7 linked regions of the Sus scrofa genome follow. The protein of the gene in region 1 purifies or fractionates together with the protein of each later gene. This does not show direct contact. Links are inferred from orthologs where the notes say so. Each region holds a gene or a part of one and is shown in the gene's direction. Other genes may lie near its edges. The genes, in order: ZRANB1, MAP4K4, STRN3, GCC2, SLMAP, CTTNBP2 and STRIP1.

Region 1 (3,997 bases):
CCCCTGGTGGACAGTGAGAGGAAGCTACTCCACGTGCACTTTCTTTCTGCTCAGGAGGTGAGGAGCCCGTTTCTCTCTTAACTACCTCACGCAGCGGCGCTGTGCCAGAGCCAGCCGTAGGGTGTCTTTCAGGCGTGGTTAGCTGCACTACCACTTAAAATTCTGAATTTGGTCAAAGTAATCGTCATTTTCCATAAATAGTGGTTAGATAGGCTTTGAAACTTACCTTTCAGAGCTGCTGTATGGGATGTGTTAGGTGGAGGTGACGCCGTGAAGACCAGAGTCCCTGGCCTGGGTGGTGATGAGTGCTCAGGAGGGGAAGCTCAGAGATGGAGCAGGGGACGGAGGGGCCGTGGGGCTTGGGGTGCCCCTGGGTGTCGGGAAGGCCTCGCTGAGGAGGTGACACCTGAACGAGGCCCGCACGAGGAAGGAGCTCTGCCACACCGGGGGGAGAGCTCCTGGTGGAGGGAAGTGCCAGGCCAGGTGGTTTACGAGGATGGGCATAAGACAGGTGGGGGTGGAGGTGGGGGGGGCTGGGAGTCAGTTAGTGGGTCTTTTAAATCTCAGGCTTTTACTCTGGGTGAGCTGGGGAGCCAACAGCCAGTTCGTCCAGAAGAGGAACCCTGGCTGCTCAGTTGAGACTAGACCCTGGGCAGTGGTGGGGCAAGAGCAGCACATAGGAGAGGGCCGTAGGTGCGGCGGGGAAGGTGGTGTAGAGGGGGCAGGGAGGTGTGAAGACGTGAAGGGCACTCTCAGAAAACCCATCTTCCTGTAAGGTCACCGGTCCTTTATTTAATACACTAGGGACTCTTACAGAACTGTTATAACCACGGCATTAAGAAAGAGATTGAGAAACTTTTGAAACTTCAGCCTTTGCATAGCTTGGAATAAACTTAGCCTGTCTGGTTTGAAGCTGTAACGTTCTAGCTTTTCCTTTGCCAGGATCAGTTTATTTGATAGCATGTGATTTTTGCTATTGAACACATTAAGTTATTACCGGATTATTCTCCCCTCTAGGTTTTTCTGTGGATTTTCCCATTAGTGGTTTTTTCTATTTAACCATAGGAAACTGGGTTTTAATCATAAAAGTGATGATAGGAGGAAACCATGTTGAAACACTTTGTTGCTCTGGCCTTTTCATTGCTCATACGAGCTGGTAGGTGTCTATTAATTTTCCTGTCAGGGAGTTCCCGTTGTGGCTCAGCGGAAACGAACCTGAAACTAGGATCCATGAGGACCCAGGTTCCATCCCTGGTCTTGCCTAGTGGGTTAAGGATCTGGTGTTGCTGTGAGCCGGGGTGTAGGTCACAGATGCGGCTCGGATCTGGTGTTGCTGTGGCGTAGGCCAGCAGCTATAGCTCCGATTTGACCCCCAGCCTGGGAACTTGCGCACGCTGTGAGTGTGGACTTATAAAAAGACCCCCGCCCTCCAAATTTCCTATCTAGTCTCTGATCTGTTGTGTTATTTTTGCTTTTCTTCCCGTTCCTCTAAAAGCTAGGTAACGAGGAACAGCAAGAAAAACTGCTCAGGGAGTGGCTGGACTGCTGTGTGACTGAGGGGGGCGTTCTGGTCGCCATGCAGAAGAGCTCTCGGCGCCGAAACCACCCCCTGGTCACGCAGATGGTAGAAAAGTGGCTTGACCGCTACCGACAGATCCGGCCCTGTACCTCCCTGTCGGACGGAGAGGAGGATGAAGACGATGAAGACGAGTGAAGACAAACCCAGGAGCAGAAGACCAAGGTACCAGCTCTGTCGCGACCCCACCATCAGTGTGGTGCTGCAGGCAGAGCGCACGGCATGGCATGAAGGGACTGGGCAGCAGCTGCTTGGAAGGGTTTTCTGATCCACACCCGGCGGAGATGATGCGTCTGCTGCAGGAGGAGACAGAGACCTTTGGACTCCAGTTTGTAAAAAACTAATTTTATTAAGACAGAACTTTTTTCCTTTCAAGTTGTAAATCTGTCTATAAATGTAACGCATGTGGTTGTGTAAGAAGTCGTGTGATAGGAAAAGTCGTACCAGCATCTTCATGTCATTGAGAAGTTTTCCAGCACGGGCACCTCCAAAAGCACATGGCACGTGACTCTTTGTTCCTTTGAGATAATTCTTCTTTAAGTAGAACCTGGCATTCTCCTTCCATCTTAAGAGACCCATTGTCCATCACGTCTCGCTAGAGCTCGCTGGAGATTTGGAACGTCTTTGTACAAATTATCCACAGCAAAACAGAAAAATAAAAACAAGCTTTTATTTTATTAATAATTTAGTTCCTGTTGTGCCCAATAAAATAAAATCGAATCTTTGAGGAACAGACTGTAAGGAAAGTTAAGAATTGCTTATCGAGTGCATTCACATAGACCTCGTTCCTGCGTTTTGGTTTCTATTATTTTGTGTTTTTAAGGTTTTTCCGGTATGCCCCTTTTCAGTATTTAGGTATTTATTTGTTTGGAAGAGTGCCCTTAAAATGAGGGATCTTCCACCAGACTCTGGGCAGGAGTCTCTTTGTGAGCAGTTAGTCCTGGGTATAAACTGGGGGCGCGCTTGGGGAGCTGGCCTGCTCGCAAGTAACTGAACGGGTTGTGCGAAATTTGCTCCCTTGACTCTGTTCAGACAATGTTGTACTCCCAAGTTTCCCTACAGAAGGTCTTTGGATTCTTACTGTCTTTTATCAACTCTGCTTTAAGCAAATCGTGTTAGAAAGGCATGCCTTTGCTTGGGCTAATTGGGACTATTAGTTCAGTAGAGAATAAAGATTTAAGAATGCAGTTTAAGGTGGTAAACGCATTGTATAATGAATTTCTCAGTGAATATTCTGAGAATTTTTGCATGTTGGTTAACTGTGGCCATTCTTATTTAAAGTTTGAAAACTTTAGTCTTAGGTAGAAAAATTTTCTATATAAAGTATTATTTGACCACTTCAGGTATACATTCAATACTGGGTAAAAGTTTCAGACCCATCTCAGGAACACAGAAAGACGTAGTGTCCTGATACGCACTTTGTAGATTATTGATGTGCCCCCCCCCCGCCCCCGCCCCACACAGACAGCACACGCAACACACACACACTCTTCCTTCCCTTTGATGAAGAGGCTGTGAAAACCTTTAAATACTTGCTTTACATGTTTTCTTCTAAGTTCTGTTTAGATGGTTTTGAAGTGTGCACAACCTCAGATTTGATGCTGGAATACTAAAAAGAGAACAGTACCTGTGAGATGTCATGTCTGTAGTTTTCTTTCCTCTCTGAACACTCACTGAAAGGTGTGCCCAAGATGAAAGGGTCGCTTTGGATGTATGCTGAAACTTGCAGGAAAGAGATTTGCAGTTTGAGTCCATATAAATGAATTTTGATAAAATAATGGTGTATGTTACTGTTCCAAGTGGCTAATGTTTTCTTGCAAATTGACTCTGTGGTTTGCTTTCATTTGGGATAGTTCAAGGTTTTAGGAGGCTGCCATTCTGACTTTAGCACAGCAGACTTTTCCTGTTATATGGGAGGAATTCTTTAGTGGCCAGACATCCTGCTCTAGTTGGTGTTCAGCAACTACCCTCCTGGTTGAAGAAGCCAAAGAGAAACACGTGAGCATCAGTTGCTAGTGTGTGCGCGACAGTCCGTGCTGTCTAGAAAACTGCAGGCTCAGTGTTGAGGCTGTGTGTGTTGTGATTTCCCCGAGGTGCCTCTTTCTTTACTCACGCGTCAGTGACCACATTTAGTTTAGCAGGTACAGCTCTCTTCCCTGTGGGAAAAAATTATACGTGACCCCATTTCCTAGGCTCTGGACAGGGATGGGACTTTAAGTGGTTTTCGGATTGGCTGGTAAAGGCCAAAATTTGGGGTGAATCAATGCTTTGTTAAGCTCTTGAACTATCAAACAGCCATAACCATTGTCCCAAGACAGAGTATAGTCCTCATGTGTGGCAGGGTGACAGGTAATTGTCTTTCGGTATCGTTTCTTTTCTAGGGACAGCACAGTTGTCTGTGTTCTCTGTTCTAATTAAAAC
Region 2 (3,945 bases), on another chromosome or scaffold:
GGTCCTGTAAGGGAGAAAAATCAACATAAGTGTTTCAAAGAAAGTGATTTTTTTTTTTTTTTTTAAATTGAGGGATTTGGGGTTTTATTTGGGTTTTTTAAATTTTGTTTTTATTTTTGGTTTGGTAACTAAGGCTGAAATGAAACACAAAGGCACATTTTGATTTATTTTTTCCTCCACTTGGAATTTGCTTCCTCTGAATATTTTCTTGCTTCCTACAGTCTTTGTTTCCTGCTGATCCATTTGTAGCCCATTGTTTGGTTTCTTTGAGCTTATTTTCCTGGTTTTCACATTATCTCAGCAAAATGCCTTGTATGTCCCCCGCTACCAAGCTTCAGTGCCACCCTCATTAAATGTTACAGAAGCACAGAAAGGTTGTCCCGATGCCTTTGACTACATTTTCTCTCTCTGGCGTGTCAGCGGAGGGCAGAGAGGGATGGGGCTGGCCAGGTGAGGGTAAGGCTAAGGTGTACTTAGGCCCTCTTGGGGGGTATGTTTTGGTGGGAAAGTCTTTGTTCTCCTCCCCCTAGAGTTTGCAGCAATGTAACTGCTGTATTTTGTACCCCAAGGTTCCTGTGAGAACAACGTCCCGGTCCCCTGTCCTGTCCCGTCGGGACTCCCCACTGCAGGGCGGTGGGCAGCAGAATAGCCAAGCAGGTCAGAGGAACTCCACCAGGTAAGAGGAGTTCGCTGCACCGACTCCTATGGTCTCACACTGTCTGCTTGCAGAAAAGTGCTCAGAGACACAGAGGTTCTGGGGCAAAGACACGATCAGTTTCTAAAAGAAAATACCATCAAATCCATTGATATGCATAACACAGACTGATCCGTGGTGAAAAGAGAAGAGTAGATCCGATTGTGATGGTGGCAGTTCTAAAGTGAAAACTCCCTGTCAGGCGGGTAGGTAGGAGGCACACAGGAGTCCAGGGGGAACTGTAATCCAGCGCTGATTCTCCAAAGGGTGTTGGTGGCCTTGGGAGTGGTACAGACATCACACGCAGGCCATGAAAGAAAAGCCAGTGGTTGACTTACATTCCGCATTAACTCGTGAATTAACCACGTAGAGCTGTTCTATTCTTCAGTTCTATTCTTCACGAGGCCACTTTGATTTGAGGTTCACTGAATTCAAATTAAATAAAATTAACTGCCTGAGCTGCACCAGCCGCATTCCAGGTGTTCAGGAACCACATTCACCTTGTGGTGACCGAATTAGCCAGCTCAGCCATAGAAGGCCACCATCTCAGTTAAGCTCCACTGACCAGTCACTGACCAGTCTGTTTCAGAGGAAGAATTGGTCCAGTTGAATGTTGTGTTCCCTGATTGCCACTGAGCCTCCGAAGGTAGCCTTCTTTACAGGGTCTCTCATATAACTGAGGTAGTGGAACGGGTGGTGGCCAGCAGCTACCAAGAGAGCCTTCCGAGTCTGTATGTGGCCAGGCTGGGCCGTGGCTTCTCCAGGCTGGATTTCGGGTTCTGCTGGGTGGGCCGTGGTTCTCTAGGGTGGACCTTGGGTTCTCCAGGGTAGGCCATGTGTTCTTGTGCACCTGAGTCAGTTCTTGCCTAGTTCTTACCTGGAGAACTCATGTCCTCCACCACGGAGGACAGCTGTGGTGTGTCCATGGCTCTGTCACATTTCCAGCCTAGCTTGTGGGGAAGGAAGCAGGATGTCGCACGGTGTCAGTTCTCGAGAGCAGCGGTGACAGGTGTTGGGGATGATCAGAGTTGTGCAATTACCCAAGTGGGATTTTTTATAATAAGAAACTGAGTTTGGGAGTTCCTGTCATGGCTCATTGGTTAACAAACCTGACTAGCATCCATGAGGATGCGGGATCGATCCCTGGCCTTGCTCAGTGGGTTAAGGATCTGGCATTGCCATGAGCTGTGGTGTAGGTCGCAGACACAGCTCAGATCCTGCACTGCTATGGCTGTGGCATAGGCCGGCTGCTGCAGCTCCGATTTGACCCCTAGCCTGGGAACCTCCATATGCCTCAGGTGCAAAGACAAAAAAAAAAAAAAAAAAAGAAAGAAAGAAACTGAGTTTGTAGCTGTGACAGAAATAGTGACACTTCAGACCGAACAGTAGCGTTTCCTCTCAGGGTGGGATGTCTTTCAGCTCTTTTGGCTTGTTTAGATACCTGAGATAAGATGGGTAGACAATGTGGCTGTAAGTTCTGGTGGGTTCGGTGACACATGCTGCTGGTGGCCGGTGTTCCCACCCTTCCTCCATGTGAGGACATCGTGCACAAGTCTGCCTCACTTGACCCTTCACCTTGGGCAGTGCCTTAGCTGTTCTCTCCTCTTCTTCCCTGACAGCAGTATCGAGCCCCGGCTGCTGTGGGAGAGAGTGGAGAAGCTGGTGCCCAGGCCTGGCAGTGGCAGCTCCTCGGGGTCCAGCAACTCAGGATCCCAGCCTGGGTCCCACCCCGGGTCTCAGAGCGGCTCCGGGGAGCGCTTCAGAGTGAGATGTAGGGGCCTTTCCTGCTCCCCCTCCCTGCCACCTGGCCCCTTGAGCAGTGCGGGTTAGGGGACCCCCCCCCCCCCCAGCAGCTGGAAATCCTCTTGTGTTGTCAGCCTCGTTCCTCTGCACCTGTGGATCCCACCACCTGTGGACCCTGTAGGGCTAGTTACTTACAGTTAAAAAAATACCTGTGCAAACGTGGACCTTGTGAAGTCACACTTGTGTTGTTCAAGGGTTGACCGTATTTTGGAAATCCTTTTCAATCGAGGAGAAGCCCTGTGGTTTTGCATAGCTGCATATAACAAACCCAGTGTGGGCTTGCTAATGACCCTGCACATCACCATAATTTTCATAATGAAGACTTAAGCTTGGAGAGCACTCGAGCACGTCTCATGTGTTCTTGCATTTAATCCTTATAATAACCCCAGGAGAGAGAGGTGTACATTGTGTCCATTTTACAGATTCAGTAACTGCACTTCAGTGAGATTGGGCCACTCGTCCAAGGTGATTGGTTCAGTGTCCACGCTGAGCTTTGAACCCACTCTTTTTCAGTATAAACTCCATCAGGATTGTCCTTAATAGTCATTATTTTAACCTACTCGTCATAGTAGATTAGAGACAGTTTCATCTCCTCTGTCACTGACATGGTCCAGCAAGGTACCATGAGCAGTACCGTGCTGTGGGATGGTGGCGGATTCTGTGTAAGGAGTCAGAAGCCCCAGGGTTCAGGCGCGAGAGTGGAGACCTTGCTGTGAGGGGCTGATGGGTGGGGAGAGGGCGGGCCAGGTGGGCTGGGCGGCTTTGGGGCCATGCTCAAGAGGTTTATGTGTCTCTGCCATTCTTGTCTCCAAACTTGACAGCATCATCCAAGTCTGAAGGCTCTCCATCTCAGCGCCTGGAAAATGCAGCGAAAAAGCCTGAAGATAAAAAAGAAGTTTTGAGACCTCTCAAGCCTGCTGTAAGAATTGCACAAAGTCAGTTTTGCTTATTTCCACCTTGAGTGAGGCCTTGCTGTTAAAGCCGTGTAGCTGCAAGGCCCGAGGGCCTCTGAGGGCCCTGCAGATCAGAGGGCTGATAAGGGCATAAACTGGAAACCTTAAACTCTCCCGTCCCCACTCGACCACCCTTTAATGATCTGAAAACACAAACGAAAGAAAATCCATCTTTCTCTTTGCTTAGCATCCACCGTTACATGGGTTCCTATGAGTTGGGCTTCTAAAGTACCCACTTCTAGAGTAAATGCATCACCTGCTTCGGCTCACGGAGCTTTATTCTGTTCTTTGGTGAGCACGGCAGTGGCACCTGTTTCTTGAACTTGTCCTTAGTCCTTGTCACGTAGCTGACCTGTCACTGTGCACCTCGGGGTTCTGGGCCTGCTGGAGTTTTGTTTCCTGCCTGCATTGATTTCTCTGCCCCCCGCCCCCCTTCCTCCATGCTTCCTGTGCCGTGTCCTCATCCTCGCTGGCTTCTCTGGCTCCCTGGACCAC
Region 3 (3,945 bases), on another chromosome or scaffold:
CACATGCCTATCAGTTAACTACTTTTACCACTAAATATTGTGCTCTTTCTTTTTAGTTGCCTGCCAATAAAGATGCCTTTCGAAAGACATGGAACCCCAAGTATACACTACGTAGCCATTTCGATGGAGTACGAGCATTAGCTTTTCATCCTGTAGAACCTGTGCTGGTTACTGCCTCTGAGGACCATACTCTGAAACTTTGGAACTTGCAAAAAACAGTTCCTGCCAAAAAGCAAGTATTTTAATGTTAACCTGTGGTTTTTTCCTTCCAAATTTGCTAATTATAAGCAATATTCTTCTTATGGTCCTGTGTCTTTTATGCACTCGTTTGATCTTACCTAGTGACTCTTGAATATCAACCACTGATTTACGATTATTTGTCCCCCCCCCTTTTTTCCCCTCTTTTAGGAGTGCCTCTTTAGATGTAGAGCCTATCTACACATTTAGGGCCCACATGTAAGTTTTTTGAATTAGTACTTAATTAACAATCATAGTTCTTGTTAACTATTATTTGTCGATCTTGAAGCCTTGCAATTTTCTCATGTTTGTTTTAAATTAGAGGGAGTTCCCATCGTGGCTTAGTGGTTAACGAATCTGACTAGGAACCATGAGGTTGTGGGTTCCATCCCTGGCCTCGCTCAGTGGGTTAAGGATCCGGCATTGCCATTAGCTGTGATATAGGCCGCAGACGCGGCTCAGATCCCGCGTTGCTGTGGCTATGGTGTAGGCCAGCAGCTACAGCTCCGATTAGACCCCTAGCCTGGGAACCTCCATATGCTTGGGTGTGGCCCTAGGAAAAAAGAAAAAAGAAAAGATAGATTAATTGACTAATATTTCATTCGATTAATAATTGTGTAGTAAGAATATAATCAGTATTGTTCAAATGTATGTGTTTATCTAAACTGTTTTAGGTACCACATAAATTTAGAGAAAGGTTGGGGGGATGCAGATATGAGTTTCTTCTTAGTCTTTGTAAGTAATTGTTTTCCTCTTTTTCTGTAATAGTGGTCCTGTTCTATCATTAGCTATTAGTTCTAATGGTGAACAGTGTTTTAGTGGTGGTATTGATGCAACTATCCAGTGGTGGAATATGCCTAGTCCTAATGTGGATCCATATGATACATATGGTAAGTAAAAGGCTCAAGATATTTTTTTAAGTGGATGGAGCAGACAAAAATAATTACCTCAACTATTATAAGATCGTTTAAAGATACATTGGTCTTTTCATTTACTAGTAATAGTACTTTGATTTACTAGCAATTTGCTTTATGAAAGAGAAAAATTAAGAAATACAATGCCATGAATATTTATCTTGCAAGAAGTATAGTTGATTTATAATATTGTGCTAGTTTTCAGGCATACAACACAGCGATTCTGTTTTTTTTTTTTTTTTGCGATTCTGTTTTTTATACACACATACACACACACACATATTCACACACATTCTTTTTCAGAATCTTTTCCATTATGGGTAAGGAGAATAACATTTAGTACAAGAAACAGTTTTTAAAACTTAGTTTATGTAGTTCATAAATATTTAGTGAGAGATGATAAAAACAAATAGAGACATGAGAGTGTGTAAATCAGTGAACATTTTAGAGGACCAAAAAATTCCTTAGTTAAGAAAACAAAACTTTTGGAATTCCCGTTCTGGCTCAGCTGAAACGAAGCTGAGGAGTAACCATGAGGATGCAGATTCTATCCCTGGCCTCATTCAGTGGGTTAAGGATCTGGCATTGCTGTGAGCTGTGTAAGTCACAAACTCTGCTCAGATCTCGTGTTGCTGTGGCTATGGTGTAGGCCAGCAGCTGCAGCTCCAATTGAGCCCCTAGCCTAGGAACTTCCATATGCCACGGGCGCAGCCCTAAAAAGACAAAGCAACAATAGCTTTAACTCACAAATGCCACTTTGAGAATCTAACAGATGGAGTTCCCGTCGTGGTGCAGTGGTTAACGAATCCGACTAGGAACCCTGAGGTTGCGGGTTCAATCACTGGCCTTGCTCAGTGGGTTAAGGATCCCGCGTTGCTGTGAGCTGTGGTATAGGTCACAGATGCGGCTCGGATCCCGCGTTGCTGTGGCTCTGGCGTAGGCTGGCGGCTACAGCTCCGATTGGACCCCTAGCCTGGGAACCTCCATATGCCACGCAGGAGCGGCTCAAGAAAAGGCAAAGAGACAAAAAAAAAAAAAAAAAAAAAGGAATCTGACTAACAGAAATATTTGCACACACATTAAAATATATACAAGGGCAATTGTTTATAATCAAAAAAATTAAAATGGAACAGATGTTTATTAGTGCGAGAATGGTTAAGTAAATCGTGGTCTACTTAATCACTGGCTCATTTAAAAAGAATTCACGAGCTCTTTGATCTTTTTATTTAACACACACTTGAGGCCTAAATTTGCCAGGTGTAGTGTTAAGCATACATCAAGAAATAAGACTTGGCGTTCCCCTGGCAGCTTATTAGCAGGTTAAGAACCTGACTAGTATCCATGAGGATGCGGGTTCCATCCCTGGCCTCGCTTAGCAGGTTAAGGATCCAGCATTGCCTCAAGGTGTGGCGTAAGTTGGCAGATGCAGCTCAAATCCAGTGTTGCTGTGGCATAAGGCTGCAGCTCCAGTGAGACCCCTAGCCCAGGAACTTTCAAATGCTGCTGCTGCTGCTGCAGCCCTAAAAAAAAATAAAAGAGTTCCTGTTGTGGTGCAGCAGAAACAAATCCAACTAGGAACCATGAGGTTGCAGGTTTGATTCCCTGGCCCTCACTCAGTGGGTTAAGGATCTGGCATTGCTGTGGCTGTGGTGTAGGCCAGCAGCTGTAGCTCCGATTCGACCCCTAACCTGGGAACCTCCATATGCCATGGGTGCGGCCCTAAAAAAAAGACAAAAGACCAAAGAAAGAAAGAAAACTTAGTCTAATAGAAAAAGATAAGCCTTAAACACATAAGCAAGGGGATGGATAGTTACACATTATGGTATGAAGTATGGTATGAAGATAACTGATACCTACCAAGAGAGGAGAGTAACAGGCAGAACCCTATTTAGATGTAGAATAAAATAATGGCATTCAAGCTGAAATCTAGAGAATAAAAGTTAAACGTTTAGTAAAGAGTTTTAAGCTAGGAAGTGTCCTATAAATGTAGAATTTAAAAAGATAACTCTTGCTGTTGCAAGGAAAATAGATTGGGGGTGGGAAGAGTGGAGAAAAAAATATCAATGTCATTTAATGTAAAGTTGTAACAGTGATTCCAGTAGATTAGGTGAGAGATAATGTTGTCAAGATTAGAGTGGTCGTAGAGCAGTGGTAGCAGAGCACTTGGAGAGAAATGGATTTAAGGCATGCTGGATTGAAATGTCCATGTACTAAGCCTCAAAACAACAATAAAATTCTCAATTATGAAAGAAAAAAAAAAAAGACATGCTGGAGAGGTGGGGGGAATAGACAGAATATATGATAAATTGGATTAAGTGGATGAAATGATGGATGAGTGACTTATTCTTTAACAGCTTTATTTAGGTACAATTCACATGATAAAATTCACACTTTTGAAGTATACATTTCAGTAGTTTTTACCATATTCACAGGGATGGGCAACCATTACCACTGTTTATTTCAGAACTTTCGTCACCACTCCTGCATTTTTGGCATGAGCAATTGAGTATATGATGGTAGCATATTGAAATGGGGACAGACAGGTGTGAGAAGATAAAGGATGGTGAGTTCAGTTTTTTGGCATGTTAAGAGATGGTAATCTTAAGTAAGTATATCAGTATCAAGATGTGAGAATGGATGGTATTATGTAGGGAGAATATGTCATGTAGAGTAGAAAGAGAAGACAAAATCCTGAGGAACTCTGACATTGGGGGCCAGGAGTAGTTAGAGCAAGAGAGGCAATGAAGAAAACTGAGAAGGAGTGGCCTGTGAGGTAGGAGGAAGTACAGGTAAG
Region 4 (3,945 bases), on another chromosome or scaffold:
GGAGCGTGAAGGAGCCGTGTGGCTGGGGTGGAGTCTGGAGACACAGGCTGGACAGTCCGTTCCCCCCACCCCCGACAGATTCATCATAGTGGAAGGACAGATGTCGAGTTACATGAGGACCAAGTAGGAGGAGAGTAAAAATGCTTTCTCAGTGTACTCGGTCACCATTCATTAGGCTAAACAGAGGTTGCTTTAAAACGTTTTACTTATTCAAAAATTTTCAATTTTTTTGTCTTTTTTTAGTGCTGCACCCGAAGCATGTGAATTTCCTAGGCTAAGGGTCAAATCGGCGCTGCAGCAATGTAAGATCTGAGCCGTATCTGGGAGACCAGGGATCGACCCCGCATTCTCATGTATACTAGTCATGTTCGTTAACCACTGAGCCACGACGGGAACTCCCAAAAAGTTTTCAATTTTATCTAGAGTTAAATTTTTCTTCTTAAACTTAGGACCATCTCAGTGGCATACTGTTTCAGTAGTAACTGCTTACAAATGACTTTTGTGCTTATTCAGAACTTCGTGTGTTGTTTATCAATGAAGGCTCAGTGTGCAAAACCGTTACATCTGGCTCTTACTATTCTCAGTAGGACTGGATGGCCTGCAGTGTTTATGCATTTATGCTTTGTCAAACCTCATGTTTAAGTACTTAATACAGGGGAACTGTAGGCTGAAAAGTTTTTTTTTGGTTTTTTTTGTTTGTTTGTTTGTTTTGTTTTCTGTCAGTAGCTCATCTTAAAGCTGAAGGTAAATATCAACACATTTATTATAAAAATACTACCTGGAGTTCCCATCATGGCTCAGCAGAAACGAATCTGACTAGCATCCATGAGGACATGGGTTTGATCCCTGCCTTGATCGGGCCGTGAGCTGTGAGGTCGCAGACATAGCTTGGATCCCACGTTGGTGTGGCTGTGGTATAGGCTGGCAGCTACAGCTCCGATTTGACCCCTAGCCTGGGAACTCCATATGCTGTGGGTAGGCCCCTAAAAAGACAAAAAAACAAAACCAAAAAACCACTAGGGGAGTTCCTGTTGGTGCAACGGGTTAAAGGATCCAGCATTGTCACTGTTGTGGCTTGAGTTTAATCCCTAGTCTGGGGACTTCTGCATGCCTTGAGTGTGGTCAATAAATTAATAAATAATTTTAAAAACAAAATAAATTGTAAAAATTTTTAATAAAAGTATTACCATTTGTGAGTCATTTTTGATCATGCCAGAATTTTGAGTTAAAGTTATTTTATCTTTTTGCTTTTTTTTTTTTTTTTTTCCTAAGGGCTACAGATGAGGCATATGGAATGTTGAGGTTCCCAGGCTAGGGGTCGAATCAGAGCTACAGCTGCTGGCCTACACCATAGCCACAGCAATGTAGGATTCAAGCCTAGTCTTCGACCTATACCACAGCTCATTGCAGTGCCAGATCCTTAACCTGCTGAGCAAGGCTGGGGATCAAACCTGCGTCCTCATGGATACTTGTCAGGTTCGTTTCTGCTGAGCTACAGTGGGAACTCCCAGAGTTAAAGTTATTTTAATGTAAATGTTTTAATTTCTTCCTACTTTCTTAACATTAAGTACTTTTTTTTTTTTTAGGGTTGCACCTGCAGCATATGGAAGTTCTTGGGCTAGAGGATGAATCAGAGCAGTAGCTGCAGGCCTGCACCACAGCCGCAGCAATGCCAGATTCTTAACCCACTGAGTGAAACCAGGAATCAAATCCACATCCTCGTGGATACTAGTCAGGTTCTTAACCTACTGAGCCATGATGGGATCTCCCTATTAAGTACTGAAAAAAAAAAAAAAGTGTATTGTATCACTTGTGGCAGAATTATAGGTTTTAAATGTTTTTCTCCAAAGACTTTCTTTGACTGTAACATGGTGTAATGTGCTGATTTCACAATGCTTAGCTTAGAACTGCATGATTTTTTTTTTTTTTAACTAATGACATAGTCACATAATATAAAGTAGACCATTTTGATGCCATTTACTGGTCTGCTTGGAGTTCCCACTATGGTGCAATGGGTTAAGAATCCAACTTCAGGGAGTTCCCGTCGTGGCTCAGGGGAAATGCATCTGACTAGCATCCATGAGGACACGGGTTCAATCCCTGGCCTCGCTCATTGGGTTAAGGATCCAGTATTGCCATGAGCTGTGGTGTGGATCACAGATATGGTTCTGGCATTGCTATGGCTGTGGTGTAGGCTGGCAGCTGCAGCTCTGATTTGTCCCCTAGCCTGGGAACCTCCATGTGCCAGGGGTGTAGCCCTAAAAAGACAAAAAATGAAAAGAATCCAACTGCAGCAGTTTGGGGTCACTGCGGAGGTGTGGGTTTGGTCCCCGGCCACATACAGTAGGTTAAAGGATCCAGTGTTGCTGCAGCTGTGGTTCGGGTTCAGTCCCTGGCCTGAGAACTTGCATATGCTGAGTGCAGCCATTAAAAAAACAAAGCCAAAAAAAAATATCGAAATTTGTAAATCCAGAGACTTATAAATATGTAGTGTCTGAGGTTTAAAGTCTGACTATAGCATGTTTTATTTCACATTTAATTCTATTCTGTGAGCATTATACTGATTATACTTCCTTTAAAATCATCCACAGTAATGGCAAGAATAATTAAGTGATTGAAGTCAAATTTATTTGAAACCACACAATGAAATGTCTGTCTTTCCAAAAAAATTGTTGAACTATTTTTTTTCTATTTTAGAGAACATCTGGAAATGCTGATTGACCAACTGAAAATCAAATTACAAGACACTCAAAATAACTTGCAGGTCCACGTCTCTGAACTGCAGGCACTGCAGTCTGAGCATGATGCCCTGCTGGAGAGGAATAGCCGGCTGCTGCAGGAGACCGTGTCCAAGGAGGCTGAGCTCCGGGAAAAGTAAGGGGGGTGCGGCACGGTGACACCAGTCTGCAAGGCACATGTGCGCTGGGGAAGATGCAGGCTGAAAGGTAGATGTAGGTATTTGCTGCTTCTACCTTAAAGCTCCCCCTTTGGGATTGTTCTGTATTTTGCTTTAATTTTTTGCCTTTTTTTTTTTTTTTTTTTTTGCCTTTTGGGGCTGCATCTGCAGCATATGGAGGTTCCCAGGCTAGGGGTTGAATCGGAGCTACAGCTGCCAGCCTACGTCATAGCCACAGCAACGCCAGATCCTCAACTCACTGAACGAGCAAGGCCAGTATCGAACCTGTGTCCTCATGGTTACTAGTCAGATTTGTTTCCACTGAGCCCTGATAGGAACTCCAGCCTCTTCTTTTTTAAACATCTTAATAACCCTGCTCTCTCTGTAGGAGACTGTAAAGGTAACTCTGGGGGAGTCGCTCGGCCGACACCCAAGCTGCCCTGAGGACAGAGCAGCAGTCTAGGCAGGGGCTCATGGAGGCAATCCTGTCCCTGCCGTCGCTTGAGGCCTGGAAGCCCCTTAAGCTCTCCCCGTAGCTTTTATCCTCCATAGAGACTTGTCGCTGCCACCAGCTCTTCCTTTACTTGTCGGTGGGTGTTGTTTGAACAAAGTGCTAGAGAGAATCTAAAGTCATCCATCTGTGACCTTGGCAATTAAGACACCTCTTTTGAAACATTGTGTTTTTACTGCAGGTCTCCCTTTAGCCACTCAGCCTTATTTAAAACTTTGTATCATGTGCTCCCCTGTAGCACATAGGAAAAATCTCAGAGAGCTCTGTGCTGGGCTCTTTCCCCCAAGAGCTGGACTTCATATTGCAGGGGTGGAGTGGATAAAAGAAGGCTCTTGTTTTTTCTGTAATTGGTTCCATATTGTTTGAATTTCCAAGAGTATACTTATATAAAAAGAAAAATGATGTTTTACCAAAGTCAGATATATAAAATCATAAGTCTTATCTTACTTAACTATAGTTAAGTCAGATATATCAACACTCTAAGTGAATCATTAAAGCTAGCAATTCCCCAGTCAGTGTCAGGTGGACTACAGTAAAA
Region 5 (3,945 bases), on another chromosome or scaffold:
TATGGGCTCATATAGGTAAAATGGTTTCTGTAATAGATACATTTCATGTCTTAGAATTAAAAGCGCATAAGTGTTAGATTTCTCTTAGAATGTGGTTTGTGGAGTTACAAAACTCTAAATGGAATTGAGTAAAAAGGGTGAAATTACACCATCTAGTGGAACTAGTGGGTGTTTGGTGGTTTTGTTTTTAAGTAAAACTTTTTACAGCATTAGTGTGATTTTTAATTTCCTGGATATTAGGAATGTTTTAGAAGCTTAAGATAAACTTGGCACCTAGCCCTTTTAAGTGTGTAAGCTGTGTTTTAATGTGGGTTCTGAGGCGATATGACTTTTATTAGATTCCTTAATCTAAAAATCAGTGCCTCTAATTAATCAGATGAAATTTTCCCTAATCGTTATTATCAAGGATATGGAGAGGAGTAAATGTATGCTTTAAACCTCAAGTACTGTGTTCGAAGTATATACTTCTCAGTTGAGGTAACTTAGAGGGAGTAGAGTAGTAAATATTCTTTGGATAATGACAGGAATAGGAGAAAGTGAAATTTAAAGATGTGCCACAACCACAGCTGAGTGCTGTGTGAGCATTTTCACCTTGATTTCCAGTGAAGGAGACCCTCTTAAACTGCTATCAAATGTTAACAAGTGACCTAGAGATAAGGTTCTGCTTGTCAATGTCTTTTTTCAGTAAAAATACTCCTTTGGAGCCACCAAATAGTTATCCTTGACCCTATAATCACATTGAACTAGTGCTTGGTAGACTCTTAGTTATTTTTTGGTGTATTTGATTATGGCAAATTGTTAAACAGTCACAGAGAGAATCAGAACACCTGAAAATGCAGTAGACTTTGAGAATAAAGTAGTCTCTCTTTATATATGCACATATATATATATATATACATATATATATATGTATTTTTTCCTTTTAAAAAGGAAAATTAAGAGGTATTTTTATGTCACACTTGTGTGGCTAAGCCATTTTGAAATATCTTTGCTGCTCACAAGATTAGGTTTAGTTTGGAATGAGTTTATTCTGAGTGCACTCTCTTTCTCTCCATATATATATTTATACATGTACATGTTTTTTAAATGAATGTATATGAAATTCAAGGTTAAAAAATTAGTTGGACCCTTCTACTCAAGATTTTAGTTTTTAACTCCCTATTATGAATTACAAGTAAAAAACAAAAGCAAACCAGATGGCTTATTTTCTGTTATACTGGAAGTTGCAGCTAGAGTACCCCAACAACTGTACTTACAGCTTAACAAATGAGGCTAAAATGATGCGACCTAAATATATTTTACAAAGTTGACTTAACATATTTAAAAGTAAGATACACAATAGGATGTAATATGAGAATATTTTCAGAATGTGCTAAAAAATTGATTACTCTTCAGAGGAATCTTGCTGAGTTTATTAGAATTTCTTTTGTGATTTATAATATTAGGAGGCCTTACATCGGGAACAGATGTTGGAACAGAAGTTAGCCACGCTTCAGCGGCTACTAGCCATCACCCAAGAGGCTTCAGATACCAGCTGGCAGGTATTCCAGTTACCTTTATATTCAAGAAGCATTTAAGCATCGATTAATATCCTTTAAATTTTTTTTCTGGCCTGGCCTTTAGATACTGATTAAACTAAACTAAAATTTTATATCAAAGGCAAAGTTATTTCCTAATGAACAAATATTGAAAACTTTGCATTTTAAAGTGGATGTTGTAATCTTTATGATTTTTATGTCTTGTTTGGCAGTAGCACCATTTTTGATATATGTTATTTCTTAATTACCCTGGGATTTTATTTATATTTGATTTTTCTTCAACAGGCTTTAATAGATGAAGATAGACTCTTATCACGGTTAGAAGTTATGGGAAACCAATTACAGGCATGCTCCAAAGTAAGTATTAATCTCAAGTACATAAAGAAAAATGCATTGTTTTTTACATAGCTTCATTTCTTTGTCATTTTGAATACATGCAAAAACATTATACATCTTCACCACTCTTTTTAAATCTTCTATCATTATGGGAAATTTCAAGCATACATGTAAATGTTAAACATTCTTCTAGCTCTCCCTCCCATGCAATAAATTCAGAGTTTGATCTAGAGATTTAGGTCACTTCTGATTTACGTACAATCTTTTTTTTTTTTTTTTTTCTCGTCAAAACCTTCATGGATAGTGTTGTATACTTTCATCAGGAAGCACCATAATGAGGAGTTCCCATTATGACTCAATGGGTTAAGAACCCGACATAGTGTCCATGAGGATGTGGGCCCCGGCTGCAGCTCTGATTCAACCCCTAGCCCTATGGGAACTTGAATATGCTGCAGGTGCAGTTGTTAAAAAAAAAAAAGCCACCATAAAATCTCATCTTTCTTTTTGAGATATTAGCGATCTTTGATTATTCTTTCCTAGATCCCTTCTTTTATTAAGGGTTGCAGAAATGGTGATATTGTAATTCTACCTTTCCTTCATTTACTAGCTAAATTACTTCTTTAAAGAGAAACTTCCCCTCATAAACCATTTTGTTATCCTGAGGTAAACTTTTTTTAGGAAAAGCCAGGATAGTGATATTTTCCCTTTATTTACTGGATTTCAAAATAATGGTTTGGTTCCTTCTCATCAACCAAAGAATGACCAATGAAGTATTCCCCGCCCCCAACTTAGATTTAAATATATCTCATGTGTTTAAACCTCTTCCATTTGTTTTTCTTACTGAGTCCCAATGATCCCATCTTTCATCTATGGGTACTTCTTCAGGTTGGCACATGATTCCTTTTGGTAGCAGACTTTGATAGCTTCCTGCTGTCATATCAGACAAGATATTCCAGACTCATCTTGTGCATGTCCTGCCTCAGACTTGGAATCAGCTTTTTCCTCAGGATGCTCTTATTTCTTTGGGTTTAATTATTGTTTTAAAATGCCCCTTTAGAGATAAGAGGTTTTTTTTTGTTTTTTGCCCATAAAAGTTAATAGTGTGGCTTTCAGAGAATATGGCAAATAGAAGAGTTAATTCATATTGTATGCTTGAGAGAAATTCTCAATTTATGTTGACTTTTTTTTTTCCTGTTGGAAGTATGAATTAATATGTTTGTGAAGGTATAATTTACTAATGCAGCTTTTAAATACAGCTTCAATTTATACAGAGCCAACATAATTTGTGTTTGGAGGGACCTTGATATAGAAGTCAAAGAGCATAACAATGTTTATTTTTTCAAATTATAAGTTATTAAAACTTGGTTATAATTATAAATATTTTTTAATCCTAGAATCAAACAGAAGATAGTTTACGGAAGGAACTTATAGCATTACAGGAGGATAAACACAACTATGAGACAACAGCCAAAGAGTCCCTGAGGCGAGTTCTTCAGGAGAAAATTGATGTGGTTAGAAAACTTTCAGAAGTTGAGGTATTTAAATTTTACAAATATTCAATAGTAGTATAATTTTAAAATTTTAGCCTCAAGTTGCTAGCATTTCAGGACATTTCAAACTTGGGTATTAGCATATAGCTCGGAAATTTTTCCTGTCTATCTGGGAGGAAGGAGCAATATGCTGTTTTCATTTTCAGGAATTCTTAAGATAACCATGTAAGTTCTGGTGCTTATGGTCCCTAGTCATAATTGAGGAAATAAAAGCCTAACCTGGGAATTTTACTGTTTATGCTTAGGTTAGGATTCAACCTCTACACCATGGACCATGATGCGTGCCAGGGAATTGATCTTCTTTCACGTAGTTTTGTTTCTCTTCCATTTGAGGCTAGTCAGTGTAAGGCAGAGAGCTACTCCGCTATTCTTACTTTACCTATCCTCCAGAGAGGAAAACCACCATTTGGAGGTTTACAGGGGCAGTTATCTCTAAGACCCCTTCTAGGTCTTTTAGGAATAATCAAAATATGTTTCACATTGTTTTAAAACAAGCTAATTGATAATATGGATTATTATTC
Region 6 (3,672 bases), on another chromosome or scaffold:
TCATAGTCCTTAAGCTGTGAAATTTGAGATCCAAATATGGACATCAGTGACCCAAAACCTCAAAGCATTAGCAGCACCAGGTTCAACCTGTTTTGGGACTCTGATACCTGCAGCAAATTTGACCTTCCTGGATAAATGCCTTTTTCTTCCAAGAGAACATAAGGAGGTAGTTATAACTTGGGTACTTTCCAACCAGAGACTCACCTGTTGTATTTGGACAATCAAACTCTCTGGACAAAGTAGAATTGAGTAGCTTATTTAGCCTTGCTGGAAATGAGTCGAAATACTTAACCACTGGAAAAATAAGGTAACAGTGAAAATCTTGCAAATTTTATATCCTTTTATTTTTTGCCAAGTGATTTTTTTTTAATAGGTTATCATCTTCTGACTTTTTAAAAGACTTTTAAAAAGACTGTTTTTCGTGCATTCGCTAATAGTTTTACATCAAGGCTTAAAGTCACAGGACCTGGGGGTCTGTTGTATAGAGCTTCTGACAGTAAGAGAGGCTCACACTTCTGATGTGAGTTTGCCACAGTGACTTTAAGTCTTGCCTTGAGTGTGTCACAGTGCAACTGAAATCATGGTCAATTTTCTGTTCTCCAGATTGCTGATTCCAGGGATGATTTAAGGAGGTTTGATAGTTCGGGAAATAATCCTGCATTTTCAGCAACTGTTAATAATCCAAGAATGCCAGTGTCACAAGAGGTAAGTGCCCCTTCTCCCTCCAAAATGGGACAAAGGATTGTTGTGGAATTGACTTCACAAATCTCTCAATATGCCATCACGAAGTTACTTTAAAAACCCTCACTGGGAAATGAACAGGATTAGGGTAGAAGCATTCATGAGGAAATCAAGTTTAGAAACTTTGCTCTTTGGATAACAGCTTGAAATAATCACATAGAAAAGCATTACTTGGTTTTCCTTATATTTAAATGCTGAAAAAATTTTGATTCCAAAATTGGGGGTGTTTCTTTTCCATTTGTTTTCATTAGTTTATGCCAAAACTGAAACTAATGGAACTTCTGTCCTCTTCTATTTTAAAATGAAACATTGACTTTCATTCGAGAACCATTTTGGAAAACCGAAGTTTAAAAATCTCACTTCTAGTTTTACTTTAACTTGCCATATCATGCATTGCGTTTCAGTGAGAGATTTTCCTTTAAAAACAAAGCAGAATGGAGTTCCCATAATGGCACAGTGGTTAACAAATCCGACTGGGAGTCAGGAGGTTGCAGGTTCGATCCCTGCCTCGCTCAGTGGGTTGAGGATCCGGTGTTGCCATGAGCTGTGTGGTGTAGGCCACAGACACAGCTCCGATCCTGTGTTGCTGTGGCTCTGATGTAGGCCAGTGGCTGCAGCTCCGATTAGACCCCTAGCCTGGGAACCTCCATATGCCACCAGAGCAGCCCTGGAAAAGGCAAAAAGACAAAAAAATAAAATAAATAAATGAAAATAAAGCAGAATGTCAAAGAGTCAAGATTCTAATCAAGTTGATTAACCTCTTGAAATTAACTTACAGGATTGATTAAATAAATTCCAAGAGAGGGGTGGCCCAGCGTGGTACTTCTGGGTGAACAGAAACAATAAAACTACCTCTTACCCAGTAGTGATTTTGTGAGGATACACATTTTTATTGTTGTTGTTTTTCTTTTTTAGGGCCACACCCGCAGCATATGAGTTTCAAGGCTAGGGGTCAAATTGGAGCTACAGCTGCCAGCCTACACCCCAGCCACAGCAACTCAGGATCTGAGCCGTATCTGTGACCTACACCGCAGCTCATAGCAACCCGGGATTCTTAACCCACTGCACGAGGCCAGAGGTGGGAATGCAGATCCTCATGGATACTAGTGGATTTGTTTCTGCTGAGCCACCCCAGGAACTCCCAGGATGCACATTTTCTAAGAGGCATGTGGTAACTTGTGCTTTGCTCACCAAGCCTTGTCGATGGTAGTTCACATCCTGCTCTCATCCACTCCCCGGCAGCTGACACAGACCTGATGGGGGGTGGGGAGGAGTGCAGAGGGCAGTATTATAAAGTGAGCGTGCTGAGACTTTAAATTGTCCATCTTTGTCGGATCACCAGCCGGCCCTGGTCCCCGCCGCCTCTGCTTCCTTAGTTTCGGTCCTGATTATTTACATGTGGAGCTATGTGTGTTGGGAGGAATTGTGGCAGGGCCGTGGTCTCGAATAAAAAATACATAACCTGAGGATCTGTGAAGAAGAGCATGACCCCTCTCGGGCTCATTCTGTATTACGTCTGCTTACCCCACCCCTGGGGAACCGTTTAGAAGCACAGCGAAAGCATAATTTGGAGAGTGTGGAGCGTGACTAAGGAGGGGATCTGGGGTCCGTACTGTGAATTCCAGCCAGAAAGTATTTTTTCCGGAGCTGCCTCTGAGCTGTAATTCACAACACATTTCTTGGGGCTCCAGGATCCCTCGTGAGGATTCTTTGTGGAATAGTCCTTGGGAAGGGGCACAATGAGCCACTCTCTGTCCACAGGGCCCCGTCACTTTCCTATATAAAAATATTGACTCAGTGAGTGGCTGCTGTTGTGTAATGTCTAATGGAGACAGTTTTGTACCTTTCTCTGCCACATGGCCATATTGGGTTGTGACAATAAGGTACTGTCCATGAAAAATAGTACTGAAAGTAGGATAAGCCTGGAACAACTTTGTTTTAAAAAGGGGCCTTTCACACTTCTGGGCTCTTAAAAAAGAACCATGGAGTGGTTTGATGTGGGTATTACAATAAGGGGCTGCCTGTTCTTTGCCCCCTCAACACATTCCGAGGACTAGCCTTTGGTGAATACATGTTTTTCTCAGAACCTGCCAGCAGAGGGCGAAATAATACTCTTGGCATTCGGGAGCCTTCTGGAAACTTCACAAGCTCCTGTCTTTTCTATCCTTCTGATAAACTCAGTGAGCCTTTCTTGGTTAGATGCCCAGTTTCTTCTGTTATCAGGAAGTAATTCCCTTTAGAAGTCAGGGTTTTCTGTGTTAACTGAAATCACTTTCTCCTGAGTGGCCAGCAAGGGGTCTATTAAGTAAAATGTTAGCCAGCCTTCTACATTAAAAAAAAAAGTATACATAAATACATAGTATCTATATTAATAAATGTTTTCTTCTTATGAAAATGCAGATTGAACCCCCTAAAGCAAATGCAGATGGAACCCCCTAAAGCAGAAGTTCTTATCTTTGGTTGCATAATGAATCCTCCTTTTTTTTCCCCCTTATCCTCAGTGGCTGGACCACATGAGGTCCTAATGTAATTGGTCTGAGGTGCAGCCTTGACCCTGGGGTTTTTAAAAGCTTCCTGCTGATTGTTACATGCAGCCCGAGCTTAGAGCCCTGTCTCTAACACCTACCTCTGAGCTGTCTTTACCCTTCCTCTTTCGCATGGAATTCTTTCCTCTTCACCTGTAACAGGTCCAAGTCCTTAAAGAACCATTGCCATAGCCTCTTCCCTTCCCTGTTTTCTTTTCCTTCTCCCTGCTGCCCATTTAGAGAGCTGAGATTATAGTATCCTCTTCTCTTCCCCCGAATGCTCAATATTGAGTTAATAGCTCTGATGTGACAATATTTCTTTGATGCTAAATGACTAAATCTTCTTTTAGGGGTGATGTCTTTCTGTGCCAACCAGAGATGTTTTTTGAGCTTTATACTCACAGTA
Region 7 (4,458 bases), on another chromosome or scaffold:
CTATTTTAATAAGTAATACTAAGCCTTTTTTTTTTTTTTAAATAAGCTATATAAGCATCTACCCAGTTGGTCAAGCCAGAAATCTAGGACTCATCCATCATTCCTCTCTATCTGGCTGATAGTAGTCCAGCCTTTCAGCAAATCCTGTTGAGTTTACCTACACAGTATAGAAATACCATGTCAAACCACTGCTCCATCCTGATATAAGCCATCATCATTTCCATTTATATAGTCTCCTAACCTGTGTGTCCTCACCTACTCTTGCAATTTCTCAATCCCTCTCCAAAAGCGGCCAGACTGGTCTTTTCAACATCAGACCATGACACCTGCCTGGTAAACACTTTTTGATGGTTTTCCATTTCCCGTAGGATAAAATCCAAAGTCCTGTCAGTGCTTTTCAAGGCCCTCTAATTCTCTGGCCCTTGCATTTACCCAGCCCTCATCTCCTACTATTCTTCCCCTGTTTCTCTCATTTTGTACCACACCACTTTAGAGCCTCTGCAGTTAGCTGGTCCCTCTGCCTGTGTTTCTTCCGTGGATCTGGGTGGCTCTCCCTCACTTGTTTCAGAACTCATTCAAAATCTCACCCTTGAAGTTCCCGTCGTGGCGCAGTGGTTAATGAATCCGACTAAGAACCATGAGGTTGCAGGTTCGATCCCTGCCCTTGCTCAGTGGGTTAACAATCCAGCGTTGCCTGAGCTGTGGTGTGCGTTGCAGACGCGGCTCGGATCCCGCGTTGTTGTGGCTCTGGTGTAGGCCGGTGGCTACAGCTCCGATTCGACCCCTAGACTCCTGGGAACCTCCAGGTGCCACGGGAAGCGGCCCTAGAAATGGCAAAAAGACAAAAAAAACGAAAACAAAATCTCACCCTCAGGCCTGCCTTTCTTAAGCAGCCTACCTATTATAGCCCTGCCACACTTCCCCGCCCCTATTACTACCACCTTTGAATCCTTTGTACTTCTTTTTTCCCCTTAATTAAAAATTTTATTTATTTGTTTGTTTATGTAGGCCACAGCTACCGGCATGCGGAATTTCCTAGGCCAGAGAAAATCGAACGGGAGCCACAGCAGTGACAAAGCCAAGTCCTTAACTGCTAGGCCACCAGGGAACTCCCCCTTACACTTCTTTTTGTTTCTTCTCAGAGCTTACTTGTCTAATCTGTTTGTTTGTGTGCACATCGTCTCTCCCACTAGACACTGTGTTATGTACCGTTAGTGCAGGCATTTGATTTCGTTCCTCATTCTATCACATGCTTGGAGCATACCAGATATCCATTAAATGTCTAATGAATAAGTGATTAATGAATGCCATAACTGTAATTGTTTTATTGATTTATTCATTTTTTTCGCACCTCTCCCCCCATGGAAACGCCATGAAGACTGGAATTGTGTCCATTTTGTTCATATCTCCAAAGCTTTGAACAGGGCTGTAACAGTGACAAGCGCAAAGAGATGGTGAAGGCAGGAGTTGGGCAGGCCTAAACTGACTTAAGGGGTTTATGGGCTACGCAGATAAAAAGACCTCTAAACTGGGACCCACACAGAGTAAAAACCAAAGGGGCAGAGGAGGATAGGAAGGCAAATAGAAGAAATATCGCGAACTGTTGGGCAGCCAAGATGGCTTCCGGCACTTGCCGCCACACTTAATATGGCGATCAGGGAGCGTTCCGGGAGGAAATCACGCGAGAGTTTCATCGCAGCAACTGTCGTTGAACTGAGCCGAGCCGGGGGTGTGGAGCAGCCAAGATGGAGCCGGCACTCGGCGGTCCCGGTCCTCTAATCATGAACAACAAGCAGCCCCAGCCGCCTCCACCTCCGCCGCCCGCAGTCGCGCAGCCTCCGCCTGGGGCACCGCGGGCCGGCGGGGGCCTCCTGCCCGGGGGCAAAGCCCGAGAGTTCAACCGCAACCAGCGCAAAGACTCGGAGGTAGGAGCTTCGGGGGGCGAGGTTCGAACCAGGCGGGCGGAGGCTCTGGGGCCGGGGTCGCTCTCGGGTTCAAGCTGGGCCGGGTTCGGCAGAGGAGGTTTTGTTTGTTTGTTTGCTTGTTTAACAGCGAAAGGAGCAGGACGCAAAGCTGGCATCCCCGGGGCGGGAGACTTGAAACCGGGGTCCCCCTCCCCGAGTTCCGCCGCCAGGTAGAACCCTTCTGGAGCCTATGTCCGCTCTTAGGCTCCTCTGCGGCCGGGGCTGTGGGCGAGGCCTCTGGGGATTCCATCCCCTGCCCCCAGTTCAAGGGTGAAGAGTCAGTGGTCTGCGTGCGCTCCAGAGGGCAGCGCGGCTACACCCCCAACCCCCTAATCGTCTCTGGCTTCTGGTCCCGCGGGTTCCGCAGCGCAAGGCGGCGAAGGGTGTGTGTGGGCAGGGAAGAGACTGGCGAGGGTTTGGAAGGCACCTCGAAGACGGACTGAGCTAATTAGCACCGATGTACTGTGCGCCGAGGTGGGGAGAGAAGGAGGGAGAAACAGTCCTGTCCACTCTGACCTTAGCCACTGCAGGTTCGGGCCATGGTTTGACAATGCCTGGTGGTTGGTGTGCCCAGTGCGCCCGATGCTGACCTATTAAAGATGAAAAATATGTTTATCTAAACACGCGTTAGGAAGCCGCTTTCCCTCCGTTCTTGCTAGTGGGTTGTTCCCCCCCTTTCGGAGACACCGTAGTTTGGAGCTCACCCCGCATTAAAGAATTACACTCCCATTGCCTCCCATCGCAGAATTCATGAATGAAGACACACACGTCGCAGCGTTTCAGGCTTCTTAATCAGCACATTGCCAGCGCCCTTACTGTGAGGGCTCCTTCACCTGAGACGACTCCGAGGCTGATTAGCAGTCAGGTGCTTATTATTATTATTAATGAGAGGGAATTCTGCATTGTCCAGGCATAAGGTACCAGTTCATTGCAGAGTGCTGATGCCGTCTTTGGGCCTGTGAAATCAGTTCCTCTCAAGCTCTTGGGTGTTGTTGCATGAGCAATCTTCTGGTAAAACATCAAAATTTGGCAAGTTCCAGTCAGATACACTTTGAGCTTGAGGTGAGTTATTTGAAAAGGCAATGAAACTGACCTTTTAGTAGCCCTGGCATGGTGGGCTGATTGGACGTCAGTGGGGACTTCCTAATAATTTTTCAAGGATGGAGGATTTTGAAAGTGGTAATGAATAATCCACCTTCATCAGAAGAGGAGTTCTAGTGTGGGGTTTGTTTTTGTTTTTTCCTTTTTATAGCCACACCTGTGGCCTATGGAAGTTCCCAGGCCAGGGGTTGAATCCGAGCTGCAGATGCATGCCTCCATCACAGCCACAGCAATGCAGGATCTGAGCCAGATCTGCGACCTATGCCACAGGTTGCAGCAACGCCCCATCCTTAGCCCAGTGAGTGAGGCCGGGGATCGAGATCGAACCTGCATCCTCATGAATACTATGAGTTCTTAACCCACCAAGCCACAACAAGCACTCCCCCTAGTTTTTAAATAGTTAAAAAATTTCCTAAGTGGCCATTAAATGCACTTTGATGGATTCGAATTTTTCTTTCTAACCTTTAATTTCCATGTAGACTCAACACATACAAGGTTAGTGAACACATTTAAGCTGAGGGACCTGTCTAAATCTGTTTCTTACAGATATTAATGCCACTCTTTGTTGTGTCTTAGCTGAAATCAGTAGGCTGGGAACCTGAGGGGTGCCTGCAGGACCCGGGGGGAGGCATTTGATGGGAGCCCACTGTGTGCTACACAATTTTGATTAGTCCTTAAAAAAACCTTCATGATAGATTTTTTTGTCATCCTCATTCCATAAATGAAGAAACTGAAGCTCAGTAACTTATGAAAGAACATGCACTCTTTGGCCCCAATAAGGAGTTCTTCGTGTTAGTCAGTGTTTGTGGGTGTTTTACATCATTTTCGAGTGGTCTTTATCTTCCCAGGTCAATTGTAATCAAGCCTGAGGACTGCCTTTTTCTTCATCTCTTCTCTTTTCCCGGAACATGGCTTCCAAGATGGTGTGTTGTCAGCTAGTGACCTATCCCCAGCAGTAAAAAGATTCTCTTTGTCACCTCCTCTCCCGCGTGTGGGAGGAAGGAGCCATTTCTGTTCAGCTGCTGTCTTCTCCGTCAGTTCTCACTGAAATTTGAGAGAAGGGCAGGAGGGCTGAGGGTGTGTATACTCATATAGTCCTGAGCTATGGATAGGTCACTAGCTAGAAGGAATGACGCTTCCAAAATCTGAGCACCATGTGGGATGGTCATTTCACCGCACAGATTACACGGAAGCTTTAGTGTTCATTCCTCCAACAAGTAGTTATTTGGGTGTGAACTATTCATTCAGTCCGTTGTTCATGCCCAGTAGGATGCTGGGCATTGTGGACTCATTGGTGAGCAAAATGGACAAAGTTCTTGCTCTTAAGGAATCTGCAGTCTCATGGAGAAGCAGACACTAAACGAATACACATGTGCATTTATAATTATGAGTT

The links.
Region 2: the proteins of ZRANB1 (region 1) and MAP4K4 purify together in Homo sapiens (affinity purification with mass spectrometry; 3 studies listed by BioGRID and IntAct, with this or other methods). This does not show direct contact. The link is inferred for Sus scrofa from reciprocal best matches to the Homo sapiens genes ZRANB1 and MAP4K4.
Region 3: the proteins of ZRANB1 (region 1) and STRN3 purify together in Homo sapiens (affinity purification with mass spectrometry; 4 studies listed by BioGRID and IntAct, with this or other methods). This does not show direct contact. The link is inferred for Sus scrofa from reciprocal best matches to the Homo sapiens genes ZRANB1 and STRN3.
Region 4: the proteins of ZRANB1 (region 1) and GCC2 purify together in Homo sapiens (affinity purification with mass spectrometry; 3 studies listed by BioGRID and IntAct, with this or other methods). This does not show direct contact. The link is inferred for Sus scrofa from reciprocal best matches to the Homo sapiens genes ZRANB1 and GCC2.
Region 5: the proteins of ZRANB1 (region 1) and SLMAP purify together in Homo sapiens (affinity purification with mass spectrometry; 3 studies listed by BioGRID and IntAct, with this or other methods). This does not show direct contact. The link is inferred for Sus scrofa from reciprocal best matches to the Homo sapiens genes ZRANB1 and SLMAP.
Region 6: the proteins of ZRANB1 (region 1) and CTTNBP2 purify together in Homo sapiens (affinity purification with mass spectrometry; 3 studies listed by BioGRID and IntAct, with this or other methods). This does not show direct contact. The link is inferred for Sus scrofa from reciprocal best matches to the Homo sapiens genes ZRANB1 and CTTNBP2.
Region 7: the proteins of ZRANB1 (region 1) and STRIP1 purify together in Homo sapiens (affinity purification with mass spectrometry; 4 studies listed by BioGRID and IntAct, with this or other methods). This does not show direct contact. The link is inferred for Sus scrofa from reciprocal best matches to the Homo sapiens genes ZRANB1 and STRIP1.

What each region holds. Positions count from the first base shown.
Region 1 is NC_010456.5:134,324,485-134,328,481, forward strand, and holds the end of ZRANB1 (ubiquitin thioesterase ZRANB1), read left to right. Parts: coding exon 1-57; intron 58-1,495; coding exon 1,496-1,714; 3' UTR 1,715-3,209; downstream 3,210-3,997. UniProt on the Homo sapiens protein: Ubiquitin thioesterase, which specifically hydrolyzes 'Lys-29'-linked and 'Lys-33'-linked diubiquitin. Also cleaves 'Lys-63'-linked chains, but with 40-fold less efficiency compared to 'Lys-29'-linked ones.
Region 2 is NC_010445.4:52,509,832-52,513,776, reverse strand, and holds part of MAP4K4 (mitogen-activated protein kinase kinase kinase kinase 4), read left to right. Parts: intron 1-569; coding exon 570-676; intron 677-2,313; coding exon 2,314-2,465; intron 2,466-3,318; coding exon 3,319-3,416; intron 3,417-3,945.
Region 3 is NC_010449.5:68,557,824-68,561,768, forward strand, and holds part of STRN3 (striatin-3), read left to right. Parts: intron 1-56; coding exon 57-232; intron 233-408; coding exon 409-456; intron 457-1,005; coding exon 1,006-1,127; intron 1,128-3,945. UniProt on the Homo sapiens protein: Calmodulin-binding scaffolding protein which is the center of the striatin-interacting phosphatase and kinase (STRIPAK) complexes.
Region 4 is NC_010445.4:47,727,943-47,731,887, reverse strand, and holds part of GCC2 (GRIP and coiled-coil domain-containing protein 2), read left to right. Parts: intron 1-2,697; coding exon 2,698-2,874; intron 2,875-3,945. UniProt on the Homo sapiens protein: Golgin which probably tethers transport vesicles to the trans-Golgi network (TGN) and regulates vesicular transport between the endosomes and the Golgi.
Region 5 is NC_010455.5:39,659,748-39,663,692, forward strand, and holds part of SLMAP (sarcolemmal membrane-associated protein), read left to right. Parts: intron 1-1,445; coding exon 1,446-1,541; intron 1,542-1,823; coding exon 1,824-1,895; intron 1,896-3,268; coding exon 3,269-3,409; intron 3,410-3,945. UniProt on the Homo sapiens protein: Associates with the striatin-interacting phosphatase and kinase (STRIPAK) core complex, forming the extended (SIKE1:SLMAP)STRIPAK complex.
Region 6 is NC_010460.4:28,566,927-28,570,598, forward strand, and holds part of CTTNBP2 (cortactin-binding protein 2), read left to right. Parts: intron 1-603; coding exon 604-705; intron 706-3,672. UniProt on the Homo sapiens protein: Regulates the dendritic spine distribution of CTTN/cortactin in hippocampal neurons, and thus controls dendritic spinogenesis and dendritic spine maintenance.
Region 7 is NC_010446.5:110,078,069-110,082,526, reverse strand, and holds the start of STRIP1 (striatin-interacting protein 1), read left to right. Parts: upstream 1-1,509; 5' UTR 1,510-1,745; coding exon 1,746-1,925; intron 1,926-4,458. UniProt on the Homo sapiens protein: Plays a role in the regulation of cell morphology and cytoskeletal organization. Required in the cortical actin filament dynamics and cell shape. Part of the striatin-interacting phosphatase and kinase (STRIPAK) complexes.